Linked DNA regions of Caenorhabditis elegans. The protein of the gene in region 1 interacts with the protein of each later gene in a pairwise test. Each region holds a gene or a part of one and is shown in the gene's direction. Other genes may lie near its edges. The genes, in order: tbx-8, sox-3, fkh-6 and ceh-30.

The links.
Region 2: the proteins of tbx-8 (region 1) and sox-3 interact in a two-hybrid assay, tested with the Caenorhabditis elegans proteins (one large-scale study listed by BioGRID).
Region 3: the proteins of tbx-8 (region 1) and fkh-6 interact in a two-hybrid assay, tested with the Caenorhabditis elegans proteins (one large-scale study listed by BioGRID).
Region 4: the proteins of tbx-8 (region 1) and ceh-30 interact in a two-hybrid assay, tested with the Caenorhabditis elegans proteins (one large-scale study listed by BioGRID).

Annotation. Positions count from the first base shown.
Region 1 is NC_003281.10:10,345,838-10,350,859, forward strand, and holds tbx-8 (T-box transcription factor tbx-8), read left to right. Parts: upstream 1-1,737; 5' UTR 1,738-1,746; coding exon 1,747-2,042; intron 2,043-2,424; coding exon 2,425-2,500; intron 2,501-2,555; coding exon 2,556-2,708; intron 2,709-3,341; coding exon 3,342-3,764; 3' UTR 3,765-3,903; downstream 3,904-5,022. UniProt on the Caenorhabditis elegans protein: Transcription factor. Involved in the control of early morphogenesis of the intestine, hypodermis and body-wall muscle. Involved in regulating expression of vab-7. Appears to have partially redundant function to tbx-9.
Region 2 is NC_003284.9:14,690,173-14,695,409, reverse strand, and holds sox-3 (Transcription factor sox-3), read left to right. Parts: upstream 1-2,410; 5' UTR 2,411-2,414; coding exon 2,415-2,618; intron 2,619-2,675; coding exon 2,676-2,801; intron 2,802-2,851; coding exon 2,852-3,160; 3' UTR 3,161-3,176; intron 3,177-4,405; 3' UTR 4,406-4,580; downstream 4,581-5,237. UniProt on the Caenorhabditis elegans protein: Probable transcription factor. Involved in the terminal differentiation of some neuronal cell types. Dispensable for neuronal fate commitment during embryogenesis.
Region 3 is NC_003280.10:4,378,906-4,385,850, reverse strand, and holds fkh-6 (Forkhead transcription factor fkh-6), read left to right. Parts: upstream 1-2,444; 5' UTR 2,445-2,562; coding exon 2,563-2,600; intron 2,601-2,760; coding exon 2,761-2,869; intron 2,870-4,224; coding exon 4,225-4,436; intron 4,437-4,509; coding exon 4,510-4,663; intron 4,664-5,320; coding exon 5,321-5,626; intron 5,627-5,815; coding exon 5,816-5,968; 3' UTR 5,969-5,973; coding exon of another isoform or gene 5,974-6,018; 3' UTR 6,019-6,064; coding exon of another isoform or gene 6,065-6,235; 3' UTR 6,236-6,266; downstream 6,267-6,945. Other genes in the region: B0286.1 (uncharacterized protein), read right to left, coding at 870-1,032, 2,169-2,228, 5,974-6,018, 6,065-6,235, 6,280-6,434. UniProt on the Caenorhabditis elegans protein: Probable transcription factor. Binds to the DNA sequence motif 5'-[TA]TGTT[TG]T[TG][ATG]TT-3'.
Region 4 is NC_003284.9:3,061,277-3,066,446, forward strand, and holds ceh-30 (Homeobox protein ceh-30), read left to right. Parts: upstream 1-2,297; 5' UTR 2,298-2,429; coding exon 2,430-2,613; intron 2,614-2,889; coding exon 2,890-3,145; exon of another isoform or gene 3,146-3,350; intron 3,351-3,458; exon of another isoform or gene 3,459-3,608; intron 3,609-3,611; exon of another isoform or gene 3,612-3,757; intron 3,758-3,811; coding exon 3,812-4,085; 3' UTR 4,086-4,275; downstream 4,276-5,170.

The DNA of each region.
Region 1 (5,022 bases):
GATATCAGGTGGGCGATTAAAAACCTGCCTGCCCTTATAGGCGATAGGCAGGTATGTAGGCAAACTGAGGAGTTTGCTCCAAAATGCAGAAAGTAGACTATAAGAAGGTTACCTGAAGTCAATACTTAACATTTAATAAACTGAAAATTCTTACAAATGATCTGTCATATTTGAAATCCTGTAAAACATCTCTGAAGCTATTAAATTTTTGCAATTTAAGCTATTAAAATGTTGACCCAAAACTCCCTCCAAAGTTCCCAAAAACTATAACATGTCAAGTACATAAAATGTCCTTCCCTATCCATAACCTAATGATCACCTGTCAATTCTAGTTACCTAACAACATAAAACGCGTACCGCTCTTTCTCCTCCACCCAACAGTGCGCCAGACGGATCCCTTTACAACTCTCTGGTTGGTGATGATGTAATTTGGAGCCGCCGGCTCACCGCAATACTGTCGGAGCACAAAATTCAGGAAAATGATCCTGATTGAGAACATGGTGCATGCATTAACAGATAATTTGTTTTTGAAGGGAAAATCAATAATTATCTGGAGATTAGATATCTTGTTTTTAGAGATAGTTGTAAACAATGGCAAATTGTAAAACCACTTTAGATGAACCTGGAACTTTCGGGAAATCTGGCAACCGAGCTACAAACTACAAACTACAGAAAATCAATCTACAAATGTTTTTTTCAGTCAAGAACCGAGATATCAGTTGCACATGGTGCATCGAACACTAACAAGATTAATCAAAATTTGTCACGTCCAGTATATCCGTAGTAAAAGTGAGAATTAACCTCAATGATTTATCATCCTGCCCGTGTCCTTCTTCCCGTTTATCAATATTACCGTAGTGGTGATGGTGGTGGGGGCATCGAATATCGTCGTAAAATCGTCGTTAAACAAATTTTATGAACTCTATATACAAATCAAGCGTGTTATTATTGTTTGGTAGAAAGATTGGAAAACGATAAAGAGAGGTGAACAGGTTTCCTAAAATATCCCCCCGGAGATTCATTTCTAGCAAGTATTTGGAGAAAGATGAAGAGGGACTGCACAATATTTAAATCGTTGAACCAATAAAATAATAATCACAAACTTGGAGCATTTGGAGCATTCGATGACGATTTTCTAGAAACTGGGGAAGTTATGAGGTTTTTGGATTACATTTTTGATTGGAGTATCATGAACATTTTTTAGAACTCCTTAATAATAATTCTTCAAACGACAAAGAAGTTTCAACCAAAAAATTTGTCAAAAAGTGTTTCTAACAGAAATGAAAGTATGTAGAGAGAAAGTTGGGATAAAGTAGGTTGAGAAGTATCCCACATATCTCAAAAAATATTTGGTTTATCAAAAAGTTGTCAACTGACAAATAGTCGAGCAAAATGTCAATTGAAAATTCCCTCGTATTATTGATTTTTGGGAAGTTACAGCTGTTCAAACTTTTAATTTTGTCTATTTTCACCTTTGAAACTTATTCCTTCACACAATTCCCCTTTTTAGCATCCCGCCAAACATCGAAAAACCACGCCTACCAGTGTTATCGCTACCGTACCCCGCGGTCCGCCTTCGGGAAGGCAGGAGTGGGGCCGTGGCATCCAGGTGAGACCCCAGGCTCACTCTCAGCCACCAATCTGTTTAGTATTCACTTTTACGCGAATTTTCCAATTTACCAATATTTCAGTTTTTGCCCGTTTTGATTGAATCCTTATTATAATATGAAATTCCAGAGAAAAACCATGACAGATCAAGTGTATGTGACACTTCGAGAAGATCAGGATAAGCTGTGGAACCTCTTCCATTATCATAAAAACGAGATGATTGTCACAAAATCCGGCAGGAAAATGTTCCCGAAGCTTGAGTATGTGGTCAGAGGTCTCACGCCGAACAAGCTCTACGCTATGATGCTTCATATTGAGCCATCCGACGATCATCGGTACAAGTTCAGCAGTGGAGAATGGGTCAAGTCGGGAAAAGCCGAAAAGCACAGGGAGCCAAAGAAGTTGTGGCATGCGGATGGAGTTAGAAGTGGAAAGTGAGTTTTTTTTTGGAATGCTTTGTTAGTTGATCTTTTATTAGATAGCGCAGTCAGGGTTGGAGTACCTATTTTTCAGCAGGGAATCAGAAAATAATTTCAATTTAGAACTGTAATATCTCAAAGGAAAATAAAAATACAATAGTTGCTTACTGATGAAATGTTTATTATAAAATTTTCTACAGTTTTCCAATTGACAACTTTTTTGTAATGACTGTTTCAAGCAAGTTATAACTACTTAAAAATGTAACACATCGCCAACTTGAGCATGTTAACTTCAAACTGTTATAAAACTACGGGCGGTTTAAATATCAAATATCAAATCCTTTTCAAATAAATTATCTGATTTTCTGTATATCTCCCTATAGTAACTTTTTTCCAGAGAATGGATGACCAACCCAGTTTGCTTCGATCGTGTAAAAATCACAAATTGCGCTGAATCTACAAATGCATCAATGGTAACAGCCATAATTCTTTTCTCCTTCAACCTCAGCATTTCCCAATTTCTTCCAGATTTTCCTTCACAGCATGCACAAATACACACCAGTAATGTCAATCTACGAGTCCCCATCGGAGAGCCCATTCAGCGTCCCACAACCATCGACCCGTCTTGTCACTTCTGTTCGACTCACTTATACCGAATTTATTGCAGTTACAGCGTACCAGGTAACACTTGTTTGGGATCTAGATAACTTTGCCTATTGAGCCCGCATTAACACTTGCATTAACACGTGTGGCTCTCTATGAGCCACATCTTCTGAAGGGTGCGAACACTAATTGTTTGAGGGGTATTGTTTTGGGTTTTCTGTGAAGTGAAAGGGTTTGACACAAAACAAATAGAAGAAAAGGATATTTAAATAATTGTTGCAATTTTTTATTAGAAATTAAAGTAAAATGGGTAAATATATTAATATAAATTTTTAGTCTCATTCTTGATTTATTAAGATTTCCTCAAAAACCGTAAGAGAGCTATCATGAAATTTTTGACCTATAAAATGATGTATACTTTTCAAATCTGAAATAACTTTTCTCTTAATTGAAAATATTGAAAAAACACTCAAAAATTGTCTGAAAGCTGAAAATAGCTTGAAAAAAGTTTTGATAGTTTGCCGGCAGTTTTTTACCGTTTTTCCGATTGTTGCAACTGTCTCAGGCGGTTTTAAAGACCAACAGCAAATAATTAACTGCATTATTTAATCTACAATTTTTTATTTTCTTGAAAACAGCGAGGCATCTCAGAAAGTTGTCTTTTTTCCATGGCTCAATCAAAATGTAACTCTTAAATTCAAAAACTTCCAGAACGACGCAGTAATCAAGCTGAAAATCAAGTTCAACCCATTTGCCAAAGGATTCCGAGAGGGAAGCCAATCAGACAGAAAACGAAATTCTCCATCCGCCGACGACTCTACAACAGATGAAAGCTCATCTCAAGTCTCTTCTCCTCAGCCAAAAAAGTCACGAACCGTGTCAGTATCACCTCCATTGATGCCACGGATCCTTCCAACAATGATTCCACCACCACCAGCCATCAATCCCCTTTTCTACAGTCTCCCCTACTTTTCCCATTTGGCAGCCACCGGGAACTTCCCGCCTGTACCATTCCAATTCCCATTTGGACTTCCATGCTTCTCCCCAATGTCATTTCCAACACCTCCGCCATCTTTGAAAAATGTCAAGAAAGAAGAGCAAGAGGATATTGAGCAGGAAATCAATGTAGTTTAATTGCAAAATTTAATTATTAATTTTAAATTGTTATACTTTAGTTCGGGTCACATGATCACTTTTTCTGTTAATTTTTTCTGCATAGAAGATTTTTTGTTTCTGAATTTGGACATAATCAAATAAATTTTATACGGTGTAATTATCTTCCAGACAAGTAGGCAGGCAGGCAAAAATGCTCTTCTGCGGGCATTCACAAAAAATAGGTCTTCTATTGCCCATGCCAATTTTTTGAAAAAATAACTTTAACTTTAAAAACCAGTTTTTTTGCGGCCTTTAAAATTGAGCAATTTTTCCTTTAAAAAATTTCCAAAAAACACCATGGCCGAATTTGTATTTTTCGCGGCCACGAGACTTCAATTTTTCATGGCAATGTTTTAAGAAACTTTTATGGTTTTTACAGTTTAAATTTTTTCCACCATAGAGCATAACTTGCCACGTGGCCGAAAAAAAACGGTGGCGGAGTTTCTTCAATTGGTTCTTTCTGCCACCAAGACTAAATGCGGGGCCGAGGTTTCACACGTTCTAGGCCACGCAATTTCTTTTTTGAACTGTTTTTCTTCTTTCCGTTCCTTCAATTTTCTCCGTTATGGCCTAGACTTTCTTGTGAAAAACTATAGTTCTTTCAATTTTGAAATTGCGAAAAATCGGCAAAGTCGACCTGCTCAATATGATGACGTGGAAGATTCTGCATGAGAATTACACAGTGTGTCATCACCCCTCTTACACTTTTGTTCTCTCCCATCACAGCCTCCCATACACACAATTTCACTACAGTTTTGCTCCTCGCGCGGCTTGATTATCATTATGTTTATATGGTCAAAGCCGAGTTTGAAGTACGCCCGGGCGGCGAATTTGCATAACCCCACAGAGAGACAAAGTACTGTGTCGGTCATGTTCGATCAGTGGTTAACAGTACATGTATATATGAGATTTGTTTTAAAAGAGCAGCTTCTTCTCTACCACCACCACTTGAGTCTACGTTTGCCCCACAGAGGGTGAACAAACGGCGCTAGGAGCCCGAGTTATTTCGAGATGTGTCACTCTTTTACAAGTTCGTCGCCACGTTTGACACTTTTTAATTTTTTTTGTGTTTTGTGCATTGGTAATTAATTTGTATATTTTTAAAAGTTATTTGAAAAAGTTGGGTCTCGCCGCGAAAATTTCGAAAATTGTTTTTCAGTCCAATTAGTTGCTATAATAATTTTTTGGTTTTTTTCTGTAATTCCTCAGCTTTCTGCTTTTTTAAACACTCAAGTTT
Region 2 (5,237 bases), on another chromosome or scaffold:
TAAATGTTCCAAAAAGAAAACAACTACAAATTTTTCAAAAACTTTTTAGATGCTGACAAAAAACAGAAAAAGTTTAAAAATCTATTTGTAACTTTATTCATTTATTCATTTATTCTGAGTATGTTTTCGATTAAATTCCACAAAAATTGAAGCGAGTACCTGTTAAATACACACATTTTAAGTTATGAATTTCAGCCTTCAAAAGCTGTCTGGTAATTAAAAAAAATGTTGAAACAGTGTCCGGGGAAGAAAAAATGCACGATAGACAAGTTACGTACATGATCTTCTTTCCAACCTGTGCCAATACTTTAAGCTATGTCAGACTAGAACGGTTATCATTTTCTTTTTTTTCTGAATTTCAGGACAACATCTCAACAAACAAACAAAAGTGTTAGTGGCATCTCAACTTCATCTCAATTATAAACGCCAATGAAATCTATTCAAACAACAAATTGGCTTATAATCTGCACAAAACCTTCGCGCGAGCAATCATCAAATTAACTGTTTAATCCATCACAGCTCTTCTCCTCTTTATTAACTCGTGTCCTCCAGAAGTGTTCTGAAGTGCTGGTAGTGTGGTGGGTGCCTTCGGGCGGTGTGCTGGAGAAGTGAGAGAAGAGAGGGGGATGGAGGGGCCGAAAACGAAGTTATCGCAAATTTACATTGTAGAAAGGAACCATTTTCAAGCGTGCTGGACCTCGGATCCGCCAGCTTTGTCTTTCCCATTTTTCCCTTTCTTTTCTCAATTCTTGTAAAAATAATAGTTTTTGTCATGTGAAGTGTATTGTTTTTTGTGTGAGTAGCTAATGTTTACAGGAGAGGGGTACTGTAGAATTTCAAGGTACAGGGTGAGGTACGGAGGTAATGAGTACAGAGAAAATGTAGTCTAGAACGTGAAACATTACACATTTTCCAGTTAGAGGTACAATAAGGGACTCAGTTCTCATATACATATGCCTCATAACTCATATACATATGCTTGAAAATTAAAAATAGGATAACAGTATTTAAGCATGAGCATATGCCTTATAATGCTATAATTTCCAAATATCACTGTAAAACGTTTTATATATACACAGTCAAAAAGCTTTTACCTATCATAATTTTGAAGTCGACCAAAAAACTTTTTCACTAGGAGTAGTATATTTTAATTTTTTTCCAATTGTTTTTAATAGTAGTTCAAACAAGCGGCAATACTCTAAGTACCTTGAAGCCCAAATTTTTCATATATTAAACAATTTACCAAAATTTGATTGCAAAGTTTGTTAAATCTAAAGTTTTCAATTTTTTCCTATAACATTCAATCACGTTGGATTATCTTAAGTTTATCCATACTAAAGATACTCTACATATTTATTAAAATTTCAAATTGATTTTGAAAGTTTTGATACATCATTTAGGTATTTAAAAAATCTAGTTTTATAGATTTTATATATAAGTTTCTGAATACGTTCAGGTAACAATTTAAAAATTTGTTGAGCTCAAAAACATAATTGTGCTGGAAACCATAAAAATTTTGAAATGGATTTAAATTAAGGATTTAACACGTTTGCAATTTTTTGAAATTTCTTGCCTTGCGTCCCGTCCAACTCTGTTCGGAGAGGGGTCGGAAGTGAACAATCAACATTCTAAACAGAACACGAATTTACACATTTTCAACATTAAATATTGTGCCCCATCGTCCATCGTCAACCGTCACTTTTCACCTAACTTTCCTCTGTAAAAAGTTCGATCTAAAACATTGTATCATCCAAAGTATCAGCACGATGTGTTTGTTAGCACAGTGTCATATGATGTCGAATAAGAATTCATGGAAAAAAAAAACGTGTTTGGTTTTTCTTGTATTCGTTTTTGAAAATGCTCAAACTAGGTATTCAGTGTTCCGTTATTATTAGAAAAGTCGTTTTGCTTCACTGAACTAAACTAACTAGGAACTCTTGAATAACTTTTGAAATATTGAGAATTTGCAAAATTAGTTCACAGTTCATGCTTGACTTCATTCACCTTCCTACGAGTTCTTGCAATCATTATATCAGCGTAAGTTGCTATTTCAGTAGGGTCACATAGGAGCCATCTTGAGTATCAATTTCGATTACCGTATTTCCTCGCAACTCATTTTGGCTCCGCCTACTGTCTCTCGTCTATTTGTGCGCCGCCTCTTGTTGGCCACTGAGACGAGGGAGGACACGCATAATATAGCACGCGTCTGTCTCTCTTTCTTTTTTTTTTCGGAAATTTACCATTTCCTCATTCAGGTTTTCTTTTCTCTCTTACGTTTATTTTATGAGTAGGGTTTCCAGTTCTCGGTTTCTAGTTTCTTGTTTTCAAATTATTTCCAAAGTTTTCCCGAAATTATTTGTATTTGGTATTAATTTTTTCAAAAGTTTTGTTAGCATACATTGTCTTTCAGCGGTATGACTGACCTCTCTTGTCTGTATCCTTCACTTTTATGCACTGAAGCTGCAAAAACATCTTATGACGAAGACACAACGTCTGTTTCATCTGGTTTAAGCCCTCCGGGCTCTCCAGTCGATCTACAAAACTCGCTGGATCATGTGAAACGGCCGATGAATGCATTTATGGTTTGGAGCAGAGGACAGAGAAGGAAAATGGCACAGGTGCATTTTAAATATTTAAATTTTTTAGGTTATTATGTAAGTAAGTAATTTATTCAGGATAATCCAAAAATGCACAATTCCGAAATAAGTAAACGGTTGGGTGCAGAATGGAAACAGCTATCAGAGCAGGAAAAACGACCATTTATTGATGAAGCAAAACGGCTCAGAGCTTTACATATGAAGGTAGTTTAATTACATTTTTCAATAGTTATATTATTAATTTCTATACTCAGGAGCACCCAGACTACAAATACCGTCCACGAAGAAAGCCAAAATCCTCCAATCTGAAGCAACAACCTCGTTTGAACATCGCCATGCCAACCATCCCGCCACAATCACTTTTCAACTATTCCACAGCATTCGACTCATTGAAAACCCATGACCTCTCCCAATACTACTCATCATTCTTCCAATCGCCCGTATTATCCGGCTCAACCTATGCTCCATACAATATGATGGCTGCTTATGCGAGACAAGCTGCAGCCGTGGCTGCTGCAAGTCAAGTGTCGGCTTCAACAACGCCAACAGCTCCTGCCACGTAACTTGCTGAATTGTCATGTACGTTACACTTTTTTTTGAATTGTTTAATAAGGTATAGGTATTTTGAATTAACAGAAAAGAGAAATGTTGATCTTTGAAGAGCCACATAAGAGTAAAAAATGTATCATAACAATATATTAGTCATTTCTGTATTTCTAAAATTTCTAGAAAAAGTCTTATATATGTGTTATTGACATTCAAAACTTTGAAACAAATTAATCGGTGTAGCTGAAATCCCAAACTACCGCAATCCCATATTACAGTAGTTGATTCCATTTTTGTTTTATTTTTAAAAAAAGTTACAGTCGATAAATACACAAATGTGTTGCTTATTTTTGTGAGCTTATCGACAAAAAATAAGTCAGCGGCTGTAATGAACAAGCTACCCAAATTTGAAAATATTTTATTTGAGGCTTTCCATATCAAAACTTGAATACGCAATAATAATTTTTGAAAAGTTTTAACATTAAAATTTAGTAGTTTAGGCTCACAATATTTGAGAAATTTTGAAATTTTTACTTTTAAAGATTAAGTTAATTTTAACGGTAGGCAAAGCTTTTGGGAAGAATATATCTTACGGTTTTTGTTGGCTTGATGTTCCGTTGAACTTCTAGTTGACGTTTTGCTCTTAATTCTTATCTAGTCTTGTTTCAAACTATACAAATCGCCCAACAATTTACTACACTTCAATTTTCAAATATCAACTTTCCCACAAGTCATTCATTCCTTTTCTTCCGCTATAAAGACATTAGGTGGTCGGTCACTTGTTTCCGACCGAAATCGGTTCATAACCATAAGAAACGCGTCCAAGTGTAAAACCCTCCTTTCCCCCTTCTCTTTTTGAATTAACACCACCACTAAATTCGACTCCCGCCAATTTGTGTATTGTGCACCTCGCGCACTTCCGGTTACACACGGTTACATTGTTCCATGCCAAATTCTTATTATTTTCACTTGAAGTGTATCGGTTTGATTTTTTCCAACACACAAAAAATGAATGAATGAAAAGGTGTGAGTGTATCATGCGCGAATAAGTCGAATAAGTCGCGCGCTTTGTGTTGAAATGTACTGTTTACTGAATGATTGACATATGTGTGCAGTTTAGATTTGAAGATGAGCAATGATTCCATTTTCTTATCGCTTTCGGAGAAAAGACAATAAAAATGACTCAGAATAATGATGAATAGTCTATATGTGTTTGGGAATTGTGTTTTACTTTGTATTTTAAACTACCATCTGATTTTCAGGTTTGCTCAATACCATGCTTCACCTTCAATGAGCAGAATCTCCCTACAAATGCCATACAGACAAATTGATTCTAATTTTTCGATAATTTTGATTCGAATGTGCTATGTGCAACCTACCTGTACTTTTCTATTTTGCTGTATCTTCCATAAATGAAATATAAAATTTTGTGAAGAAATAACTACAAACTTTGGGTTTTATCAATTTTATCTATTTGTCAGCTGCACTCAAAAGCTCATCACCAGGATACGGTATTTTTTTTAACGGTTGTTCAAAGTGTGCCTGCCGCAAAAGTGTACAAGAATAAATAGGCGCCCAATGTAATGTTAGTATTCAATTTTTGCGACTTCTATTGTACAACAAATTCAATACAATAGATTGAATTGTTCAAGAACAAACTTCCAATTCATTGTTGGTTGAAACGAATGAATAGAATCAAGGAAGGAAAGAAGGTATTCAACAACTTTTACTCCTCTCTCCTTTATTTTCACCCCCACTGTCCCTTGCCATTGATATTTACCATTTGCTGTCCCCTGTCACCTCCTCTGTCATTGACGACCGATACCCCCATGGAGTTACATTTTTTTTTTCGTTGAGGTTGCCTGAACAAAGAGAACAATGTCCGCACTTAAAACGCCTAATCAAATCGGTTCACACGCTGAGAAAAAAGTTGAGGGAAGTCTAAACCATTTCATGGTCATTTGTTAGATGGAAATTTATAGAAACAGGTCATGTTGCGAGAATTTTTCGACCTTAAGTTAATACTCAATTTATCTAAGTTGAAACATAAGATTTATAACTGCTTATGACATAATAATGAGCAACTTGAACATG
Region 3 (6,945 bases), on another chromosome or scaffold:
GTCAAATAGAATTGATTCAAAAATAAATTATAACTCGAATTTTGAAATACGCTGAATATGGTTGTTTGAAAAATTCTTAGGTAGTTAAACCTGTTGCCAGGTAGGTAGGCACATTTCAAGGCAAGTAAGCACGCCACTAGTGTTCCAGGCAGGTAGGCCCAAGTAGGTAGGCAAGTTGTCAGGTAGATAGGGGCGCGTTATTAACCAGGTAGACCTGTTCCTAGAGAGGTAGGTAGGTGAATAGGTACGTTGAAACAGGTAGGCATATTATCAGGTAAATAGGCACGTTAGGCACAGATAGGTACTCACGCTATCAAGTAGATAGATACAATATGAGGTAGGTAGGAACGTTATCAAATGGGTAGGCGCGTTTCTAAACAGGTAGGCAAATCTTCAGGTCGGTAGGTACGTCACCAGGTAGGTTAGCACGTTATCAGTAGGTGGGCATGTTGTTTAGGTAGGCGCGTTACCAAATAGGTCGGTACTCCCGTATTCAAGTATAGATTGTCATGATAGTAAGTAGGTAGGTACATAATAGGCTAGGTAGAAATAGGTGGATAAGTTACTAAGTGGGAGGTGCGGTAACAGAATGGTAGGCACATTTTCACGTAGGTAGGCATATTTCTAGTTAGGCAGGTAGGTACGTAATCAAATGTGCCGTTCTGTCATACATCTGCCTGCCTACCAATTTACCTACCACACTTTTTTAGCATGCACACTGTCTGTTTTCGTATTTCAGTTTTTTCATTTTAATATTTTTTGGTAGCTTCTATTTTTGGGATTTTTTTTTAACACGTCCACGACAAATTTCAGATTTTTTCAGCTACAGTAACCCAAAGAAAAAAATAAATTTCCAGTCAAAATGTCACCTTTATTATCGCGATCCTGTGGATGCTTGTCCATTTGTTCTCTCTCCTCCAACTTTTTCACTTTTGCCTCTTCCAGTGTCTGCACCAATTCTCGTCCCAATAACAACTTTTGCGGGATGTGATGTTGAATGTTACCTCGATCGAAGAACAATGGTTCATCAGCCTGAAAATGGAGTAGTTAGTTGACCCTTATGACGGCTACTTTTTTCTCTCTTGTAGACTCATGTGAAAAGAAATACAGGGAGTAAGTAAAAATAGAAACAAGCAAGACCTTTGATCAAAAAGTTTGAAACAATTTGTTGATAAGAGAAAGTCAGACAGATAAGCAAAACAGTGGCAAATATTCAGGTGATTTATTTAAAGTGATATGTTTTCGTTTCAAATGGGAAAATATCTTGTGATTCTGAAACTACACAGAGAAAAATTGAAAGTGTGAAAAAATAGAACTATCTATGAAAAATATCCAATTTTGGAAATTGTTTGAATATTTGAAATTCTGATTATGTGGTGAATTATTTTAAACAACCATTTTTAAAATCACTTTCTTGAGGGAAATTATTATTGATAAAAATCTTTTTTTTTTCGAAAAAATCGAAAATTTTGCAATCAAAAATTTTCAAGTTTTCTAAATTTGTTTCTAAATTTTTCTGATGCTTTGGAAAATGGCTAGTTTTGTCTGAATTGACCGTTTTAGCATTAAAACAAATATTTCAAATTATTTTGGTCGATCCAGGCACTTCTATTCACTTTTCGAGGCTACAGAAAACAATGCCCAAAAATGTGGCTGGAAATTTAAAAAGTTAAAAAAATCCAGTTTTTAATGAAATTAAATTTAAATTAAAAAAAAAACGATACTTGTGGTTTATAATCATTAATTTTAAAACAAATTTGTTTTTCAGAAGTTTGAAAAAAAAAATTGGAAATCATTTTGATCTACTATTTTGCCAATTTTCCCTATTAGCCTTGCGCCGACATTGCTCCACTTTGACGACTTATGTCTTGGTTCACTTAGATTTTAACAAAAAATGATAAACTAATAAAATGTAGAGAATTATTTTGGGAGTACTTTGCCAGTTAATAATTTTTGATAAAATCAAAAAGAGCTGAGATATACGCTGTCAAAGTAAAGGAAAGTGCCTGGAAGTCTAGTAGAAAAAATACAATGAATGAAAGGTGACTAAAAGTCGCTGGAAAGTCAAAAAATATGGTCAAGTTAAGGATTAAAAAATCGCAAAATTTTCAGAATAATTCCAGATTACTGTAACGGGAGTACTGTGTACAACAAAAAGAAGCACAAACCTTCTGATTCCTGCTGAAATGTGCCGTCTCATTTTGCGAGTAATGCTCGATGGCTCCTCCCTGTAAAAAGTTGTGTGTAATTTTGTGTTGTAATACAAATATTCTCCAATCGTCGTCGTGTTCTCCCTTTCGATTTTTCGTTTATTTACAAAATATAAAAAGTAAGAGATGATCAGATTGGATGTTTCTGTTTCCCTTTTACCAGTGAATCAGCACCAGAAAATGTCAGGAGCACACAGGGGGGAGAAGGAGACAGTGTGCACAATCTTCTTCCATTTCTTTCCCTCCACCCACACCTCCGTCTTCACAGTTCCGAGACCCCGCCCTCACTCTTAGCTTCTGCATAATCCGTTGTCTCATTTGACACCCCCTACCATAAAAAAATACAATAATCATGACTCGCCATCAAACACATCTTCCATTTCATATTGTGTAAGTTATGTATTTATTTATTTTATTTATTTATTATTGTTTTTAGAGAGGGAGAGAGAGAGGGGAAACATATTTTCTTTTTCTTCTTCTCTAAATACAAAATCCCCGTTGCAAAATTCTGTTAGAGGCAAAGTTTTGAAAATAAAAGAGCTCTTTCCAGTCAAGAGGGAAATTCGATTGACAAGCCGCCATACAGTTACGTTGCACTTATTGCAATGGCAATCGATGCTTCGCCGGATAAGAGAATGACGTTGAATCAGATTTACAAGGTAACGGGAAGCTTTTCGATAACGTTTTTTTGGTATAGCGGTTTTGGAGGAATTATCATGAAAATTTTGCTAAAACTAAATACTTTTTTGCGGAAAAATACCATTTTAAAAACCCAAAACTGGTGCGGCAATTCAAATTTTGAAGAATTTTTGAGCAAATTTTTCACAATGTTAGCGGAATATTCCAGTTTTTTTTGGACGTCATATTGAGTATTAAAATATGTGCTAGAACTTTCAGTTATTCCTGCAAAAATAGATCTACGAAATTCAATTCCAAAACTTTAAAAATTACTTTTTTTCTGAGAATTTTTATCTCACTTTACACTAACTTCGAGGCTGCTGAAATTGTTCCAAATCCGATTTTTATCTTCTTTTAAGTTTTTCAGGTATAGGCAAACGTTTGAAAGATTTTTTTGTAAATTTCAATTATTTGAAAACTTGAATCATCGGAGTCTATTTAGTCATATAAAACTGATCAAGCCGAGCCATTTAATGAAACATTTTCTAGTTCAAAATGCTCCTTTGAAGCGAAAAATTTGGCGATCATCTTGTAATGACATATACTTCATTTAAAAATCCAGAAAAATATTCGTCACTTCTCCGGAGATTCTCCCTATATTTTTTGTACTTTAAATTGTTTTGAAATTACTAGAAAAGCCTCAAAATATCTGTTATTTTGGAGATTTTCTAACACGATTATATAGCAGTAAAATTAATCTGCTCCTTATTGCTACAAAAAAAACGAAATTCGAAAAAAAGTTCTTAAGGTTCTACATCATCTTTCCCATATCACATTTTCGTACAGTAAGTTTCATACATTGATATTTTTGTTGTGATATTCAGTTGGTTGCTTTTTTTTTCCACCTAGCCCTGCCCTACCGTAACCCTGTCACAAGTGATCTAGTAATGTTCAGTTCAATCTAACTCTGGAAAACCCAACTCACTAGCCAGCACATCTACCGTAACCCACCACTTCCACTCTTCCGTTTTGACTCATCAACCTTAATAGATCTGACTAATTTGGTGTGGGGGGCACCCTGTGCCTCTCCCATAACATTTACACAGTGAACAACTTTTCCTCTCTCCTACAAGTCAATAACAATGTCAATATATATATATATAGACCTTCTTCGTGTCAAGACCCAAAAACCTTAGTATTCAACTTTGACAGTTAATATCTCAGCTCTCGTTTGTCCTAAACAAAAATTGTCTACCAGCCAAATATTTTTTGGTTATTTTTCTATAGGTTTGTAGTTGATCATTCATTGATATCTTTATTATGAACCGAGATATAACCTTTCAAAGTATGTTAGTTTCCTATCAGGCGCAAACAAAACCGATGATGTGTGTTTCAGTTCATCGAGGCCAAATTCCCATATTACCGTGACGCGGACGCGAAACGAAAACAGGGATGGCAGAACAGTATTCGACACAATCTGTCACTCAACGACTGCTTTGTCAAAAAAGCACGAGACGGACAAAGCTGCGCGAACGACAGAAAGGGCAACTATTGGCAAATGGTGGCGGACAATGCGCCTCAGTTTGACAACGGCAACTTTAAGAGAAGGTATGGATAGTGACAAGAGGATTATTATTATTATACACTCGTGAAAAATGACTATTTGTTCATGTATTTACAGACGTGTCAAAAGACTTGGAATCGGAAAAATGGGTTATGCGAATACGACGGAAACTACTGAAACAGGGACCATTCTACAGCAACAGCTTCCGTTTTTCAACGGGTTGAAGTGGCCACAGAATATTCAAACTATGGATCCTTTCCAGTTTTTTAAGGTAAATAATTGCCCAGTGAAGATTTTCGGGAATCTGAACGCTAACGCCCCATGAAAAATTCGAACAGGCAACAAATTTACGAAATTGTACTAAAAATATTGGTGAATCTGTAGTAAGCTTATCGTTTAGCCCCAGAGTCCTTACTAGTTAGTTGTGAAATTTTCGTTACAACTCTTATAAAATGAAGCAAAGTTGCTTTATATTCCCAATTAAAAATAATTTTATTAATAATTGTTTTTCCAAAAAAAACTTTCATGAAAATACTCAAAACTCCGAGGAAACTGTGCCAATCTCAAAAAGATCTTAAAGAAATTAGCGAACTGTGCAAATATTTCACAAAGACAACTATGCCTGCTTGTAAATTTTAGATCATAGGCAGGCATAGGCAGAAAAATATAAAGTAGGTAAGTACGCCTGAAGGCGTGCCTGCCTACCAAAAAAGCCCAAAAAGTGGACTCCATGCCTTGGTCTACTTTGACAGCTTATATCTTGACTCCCTTTGTTGTTATCAAAAATTGTCAGTTGACAAAATATGGGCAAAATATTTCTCTACATTTAAATAATGACAATTATTTGATAAAATTTCAGGCAACCATGATATAAGCGGTCAAAATAGAGCACAATCGGGGTGCAGATCTAACACTTTCAATTTTTCAGTTCCAATACCCCAACTCCATCACTGATAGTGCCAACACCTCCCAAATCAACAACTCCTCTTCCTCATCGTCATCATTTGATACCTCAATTTACACAAGCGCCTTCCCAATTCCAACTTCTCATTTCGACACAAATCTAGTGGCTCCATCTCAACCACCACCAGTTGTGTCTGATGTAGAAGTTGTACCATCGGATACTGTCAAAGAGGAGGTTCTAGTTGATATGAAGCCATTGATCCCTGGGATTTCAAGTACAACATTCTTGACAAGTCTTCAGATGACTGATCCGAGGAGTATCGAGCAACAGGTTAGTTGAAATTTTCAAAAAATGTTTTAAATAAAGTTTATGCTACTTTTTTTTTAACTCTTGCAGCTTAATGGAGAAATTTTGAAGTCGGTAAAAATTATGCTATCTCCACTTTTTCTCCTATCTCCACTTTTTCTAAATTTTAGAATTTTCATAACTAATCAAAAACCCTCCTAAAACTTATTCCAGCAACTGCTCTCCACTGCAAGCAACATGTACCCAAACGCCTTCATGCCCCCTTATACCAATTGGTCCTGTCAACCAACAACCACTTTCACGGGATTATCATTTGATGACCCATCTCTCTATGGTTATGGACAACAATTCCCAGCTTCATCTTAACTTACCCCTGTCAACTGCCTGATCCTCGTTTCGCACTGTTTCAGTTCCTCCTGGAATAAATTTTTTGAAATATTTTGGTAATTAATTTCAGATTACCTTCAAGCTAGAATTTTCATCCGAATAATTATTCTTCACCTTCTCCTCCAAACCTTCAATTTTCTCTTTGAGACCCGCAATTTCTTGTTCATATTTTTCGATTGTTTTCTTCGAATTTTCATCGTTTTTATTGTTTTCTTTTTTTTGCTCTTTTGGCTCTTCTTTTAAAGTCTATAAAACATGAATTATGGTTTTAAAAAAATTTCAAATCTTACCTGACAATCCGTCAACTCCTTCTGGCACGTTTCTTGTTTTGTCTTCAACCCGTAAATTTCTGACTCTTTTAATTTAATTTTGCTTAAAAATTTGGTTGATTCGGCGTGGCGGGATTGTAATTCAGCCTCGATCTTCTTTTTGTGCAGCCAGATTACTGAAAGAAAAAAACAGTGATTTGACTTTTAAAGTGTTTTTTTTTCAGTTTTTTTTTAATGGCAGATCTACTCAATTTGGAGGGTTTTTCGAAGAAAAAAAATCACCGATATCAATTTTATTTATAAACTTAAGTTTATAGTACTTATTATTTCAAAAACTAATATTAATCGGAATTTAAAATTTACCAAATAAAAGTTGGCAAGAAAATCTAAGTCTCTGAGAACAAAATTTTGGTAAAATTTTGTCCAAAAAATTTGTAGTCTAAATTTGTAGTAAGTTCAAATTTTTTGAGATCAAACTGTGACCAATAATTAATTTTTTTCGAGAAAATTTTTCTGCGAGAAATTTAAAAAATCTGATTGAAATAGTTTTAGCGGGAAATTCGAATGTTCTTAGAAATAAATTGACGGAAATTCAGAATTTTCTGAAAATCGATTGATGGCCTAACTTCAGATTTTTCTAGGCCACGTAAACAATGTTAACTAGAACTTTTTCTAAGCTACATATAT
Region 4 (5,170 bases), on another chromosome or scaffold:
GGAAGTTAGTTTTGCAAAAACATTATCTTCACTGCAAAAATTAAATTTTCAATTTGAAAACAATATAAATAAAAAAATGCTTAGAAACAACACATCAGTCACATATGAGTTGAGAACTATAAAATACGATTAAATATGACTAAACCTTTTGCCTGAACGTTCAAAATTGAATCCAGTGAATTGTCCAAAATTCACAGATAAATCCACGTGTATACTAACACTGTTAGAAGTTAATTTGTTAATGAATAAATTTAGAAACTATGGTTTCAAAACGAGTTCCAATATATGTTTAATATTTAAGTAATAAGAATTTTGAAATAAATTTCATGTTTATCAAAGCAGCGTTTTATCTTTCCAACTATCTATATAACTCTTCAAATTTATCCATAACCTGACACTTCCGGCAGTTCCATCAATTGTATTCGTTAACCTGCCGCTGATCGGTGCAAGCTATAAGTCAACATGTCACATAAAAAGGTGCCTAAAAAGGACACAATTGCCGGGTGGCTTTGATAAACACCGCTTCACACACTTGAAGGAGTCGTTTACCTGGTCTCAATTGCCATTGTCAAAAAAAAAGAAGCGTCTCTATTGCGCAACAGAACACAATAGAGCAGCCACGTGTGTGCTGGTCCCACCGGTCTGCGACACCTTTCCGGGAGTGTCCTTTAATCTAATTATTTATGTTGGCAATTGTAATGAGCTGTATGGAAAGGATACGATATTATGTAATAGAACCTGCTTACCCGGGAGATTTCAAAGGCGGCTTCTGTCTCCTAAACAAGCTCATATTCATATTGCCAGCTTTTTTCTTGTTACTGGGTGTCAAGATGTATGTTCACAATTAAGAGTGGGGGAAATGGCAAATGACAATTATCTCTAATGCATTTTCATTTCCACTTCCAATTTTCCTTTTTTTTTCAACTTCCCATTTTTCAATTTGTAACTGTATCGTTTTCCAGTCAATCTTCCTGCGCGCCCAATATTTTACGCTACGTTGAGTTGAAAGTGTCTCCGCTTTTTGCACCTCTTCTAAATATACAAGGACGGAACGATCATCTTGTTTCTCAACATTACCAAGGTAGCAAATATATAAGTAGAAGAAAGAGCTAATGAGAATGATTTATGTGAACTATCAAATAAAACAACTGCTGGCGGAATGAGGAACGCAATGACTTTGAAACATGTCTATGTACATAGCTGGGCGGTCGAAAATTAGCTGAATGTCCTTCCATGCCAATCGGCTTGGAATCGCGAAACAAAAAACCATTTTATTTGTTTTGTAATTGACGGTTAGTATGCAAAATTAATCGACACTTCAGAGTAGATTTCTCTTCGAAATATAGGAATCGGTGGATGTTAATTACATGGGTTTTGTCACTCCGAATATGGGATTTTAACGCTTTTTGCAGTTTCAAATTATTTTTGTGTCTGGTTAAGATGTGAAAATGCATTGTTTCAAGGACAGAGCGAAGATTGTTCATAATATCGGCAAGTGGCCTTATTCTGAAACTCTATTGCAACATTACGTGTTTTGGGGGAAAATGAAACTATAAACAGAACTAATTTGAGAAAAGCGACAAAAATATGTATTCATTCAGAAAAAAAGGAAACAGAGTGTTTACAACAATGATTGAAATTATTTGAAATTAAATAAAAAACAATCACCGTATTTCTACAGGTTACTGAAATCGTGATTCGTAACAAAAATTTACCGTAACTTCTATAACTTTTTTTTGCCGAAAAATACGTTGAGTAACCTTTTGTCGATTTTGTGAAAAACAAACCGACTAAGCTTATATATGGAGATTAGTAAGATGGTCTTTCTGCAAGTAAGTGAAAAACTGTGAAAATGAAACTTTAACATTTCGAGCACCAACCTGAAAATTAGAGTTCGATATCCAGCTTTGGCAGAATAATATTCCATATTGTTTATTTCCAAGTTTGACAATTCATCAAATGTTTCCCTAGAACCACCGTTTGACAGGTTGCTCCAATTAGCCGCAGTGTGCAGCTATTCCCAACCATCTTCCCCCATCTCATTTTCGCCATCATTTTCCCCCGCATCATCTGAGATGTGCAAAATGAAAGGTCAAGTTATAGATTTCGTGTTATTAAATACAAATAATTGACTTCTCATGTGGCGTTGGATCTCGAAAATCGAGTGTAATTGTCATGACCATGTTTAGGAGGGCGGTGGTGGTAGCTGCTGCTGCATCATCCTTCCCAATGTCAACGCACCCTCTTCTCTCACCCAAATTGCCAGGCCGTCGCCCCGCCCACTCTCGCACATTTAACTTGTCTTATAGTCACCCCTCATCGTCCGACAATAACCAATCATCGGTGCCTTCAACAGTGTCGCATTCCCGACTTTCGAACGTGCAAAGCATTCGTTTAACACTTTTCTACAGTACCACTCACTTCCCAAAATGTCACTTCTCGACCCTCGGCAGTTTCTGCTTCCCGCTTTTTATCTGGATCCGACTACACAAGCACTTCTAGCTCAAGCAGCTTCAACTTCCCCGTGCAACAAAATTTCGTCTTCTTCTTCATTCCGCATTTCTGACATTCTCGAGCAATCCCCAAACAATTCATCCCATTCAAACGATCACGGTAAGTCATTACACCTGCAATTGATTCCAAAATTCCAAACATTCAAAACGACAGCCATTAAAAGTTTTGTGCGCGGCGCGTTACCCATCAAAAATTTACTCAACCATGCTCTCGATTTTCTCCTCTCAATGGTGACTACCCGGAAATGATAGTTTGAATGTAGGGGGGGGGGGGGGTAAAAGGATTAATGCCTTAATGAACATATGAATACAGTTCTCTTCCGGGGTCAATCTTTTGTTTTGTTCTTTTTGTGCATCAATAACCATCAACTTTCAGACCCATCGCCACAATCAATTAAATCTGATTTTTCAACTTCGCCAAGAGCAAGCAGCCCCGGCGGCGATCGAATGGGTAGTCCAGGCAGTTGCAAAAAATCTCGGAAGGCAAGAACCATCTTCACTGACAAGCAGTTGCAAGAGTTGGAGAATACATTTGAAAAGCAAAAGTATCTATCAGTCCAGGACAGGATGGATTTGGCGCACAGAATGGGTCTCACTGATACTCAAGTCAAGACGTGGTACCAAAATAGAAGGTTAGTAATAACGTCTTTCAATTATCGTTGGAATTATCGTTGGAATTATCGTTGGTAGCAGAGTCAATTCTTAACATACATATGTACATTCTCAAATTAATAACAAGCGTAGCCGCCAATTGAGCCCACCCTTGTAGATTACTACACCAACCACGCTCACATTTCCTAATTATTGTTCAAGGCGGCGGTGTTCTATGTGAATATTTGATGTGATGACTTGTCATCAGAGCATCATCATCGTCGTCATCATCAAATTTTCACCAGCTTTTAGTATCGGTTTCATTGGTGAATGAAGTGGATAGACGAATTTGTGCCTCTTTTGAAATGTATCCATGCATTCACAATCTGGAAAACCTTTCAAAACGTCGCTATTGTTGTGTAGTTATCGCCGGGGTGGTCTCCTGCTCTTTTGCACAATAATGAGGCGTATGAGTCCGCTAAGAGGCAGATCACCTGCTTTTGGTCCCAAGGTTCGGCAGCGTTGAATTAATCCGAATATAGTCAAGTGGTGGTTAATACATATAATATATCTAGTTGCGACATAAAAACATCATTATTACAATAACGGGACACTCAAAAATTAAGATGTGAAAAGTGAAGACGTCCGGTCTAGTGGAACAAAATACGGCAATTCAAATTACTCAAATTACTTAATGTTTTTTATAGAACAAAATGGAAGCGACAGGCAACAAGTGGAATGGATCTTCTATCGGAACCTGGAAACCTCTCCGCAGTTCAGAACTTGATCAGAAGCAGTCCATATTGGGCCAACTATATCACAGCCTTACCTATGGGCACTCAGCTACCGATGATGGGCCTACCCATGTCTATGATTGTTCCCCCAGCCCATGCTTTCCAGCCTTCCTCCTCTTCAAATTCTCCATCCACTCACATATCCAGTGAATCCCCTCAGTTGGATGTTTCCAGCAACTCAGAATAGTATTTCTTGTGTTAATTTTTAAAATTTGTATGTAATATTTTCAATTAAAGTCACAAAAACCGATCTCAATGGGTTAGATAGGGAGAAGACGCTTTCTTTTTTTCACAACATTGCATATGTATCGCTTGTGTTATTTTTATTTTGCTTGATTATGTCATTTCCACGTCATTAATAATAATATTATTATTTTATTATGCTGTTCGTGGATGATGACGATTTCCGAAATCTGATAAGAAAACTGGAGATGGTGGGGCATTCAAAAATACAATGAACACAAGACGTGCCAGAAGCGCCAGGTGTTGGCGAGTGGCGCAACCGTTCTGATTTTATCGCGACGGAAGAGGTAAATATGTGAGATAGAATACTTGGCAGGCGTCGTTAACACCTCACCTGTTCGACAAATACCTTTACCTGACAGACGGTTCCTAGCTCACTTTTTCAAAAAATGTGGAGAAATTAGTAAAACTTATTTCTATGGTGTTCAAATGTCCAAAGATCATGATAAAACCTTTCAAATAGAAATTGGAAATTTTGGTACTTTTGTGTGAATCGAACTCAGTTTTCACCAGTAACAATAAACATTTCTCGCAATAAAAATTTTCCAAAATTTTTTTTCAAAAATGATATGTAGTAATTTAGCAAAATTTTGACATTCATAGTAAAGGCACAAATTGTTTTTCTGAGTGGGTCTCGCCACGATCTCAGTTAAAATGCTTGCTACAGGCGCGAATATATACAAATTTGTTGTTAACTTGATAATAAAATTAAAGTTTGTGAACTTTTAAATTTTAAAGTGAACCTAGAAAAAATAGTCGATAGTACATATTTTGATGCCTTTCAAATTAGAAAATTTTCAAGAATTACTATCATGCTACATTTTTCAATTTATAACATTTGACTTAACAATATATAATTGCTCTCTCTAACTCATATTGCTGAAATGGTATAAATTTTTAAGGATAAAAAATCATAGCAGCTTCCATTCTACAGTTCATTGTTTCAATTTTGTCCCCGGAAGAGCACAAGTGTCGTTCATTAGTAAGCTTAAGATAATTGGTAATTGGTAGTGTGTTAGGCTAGTGGTA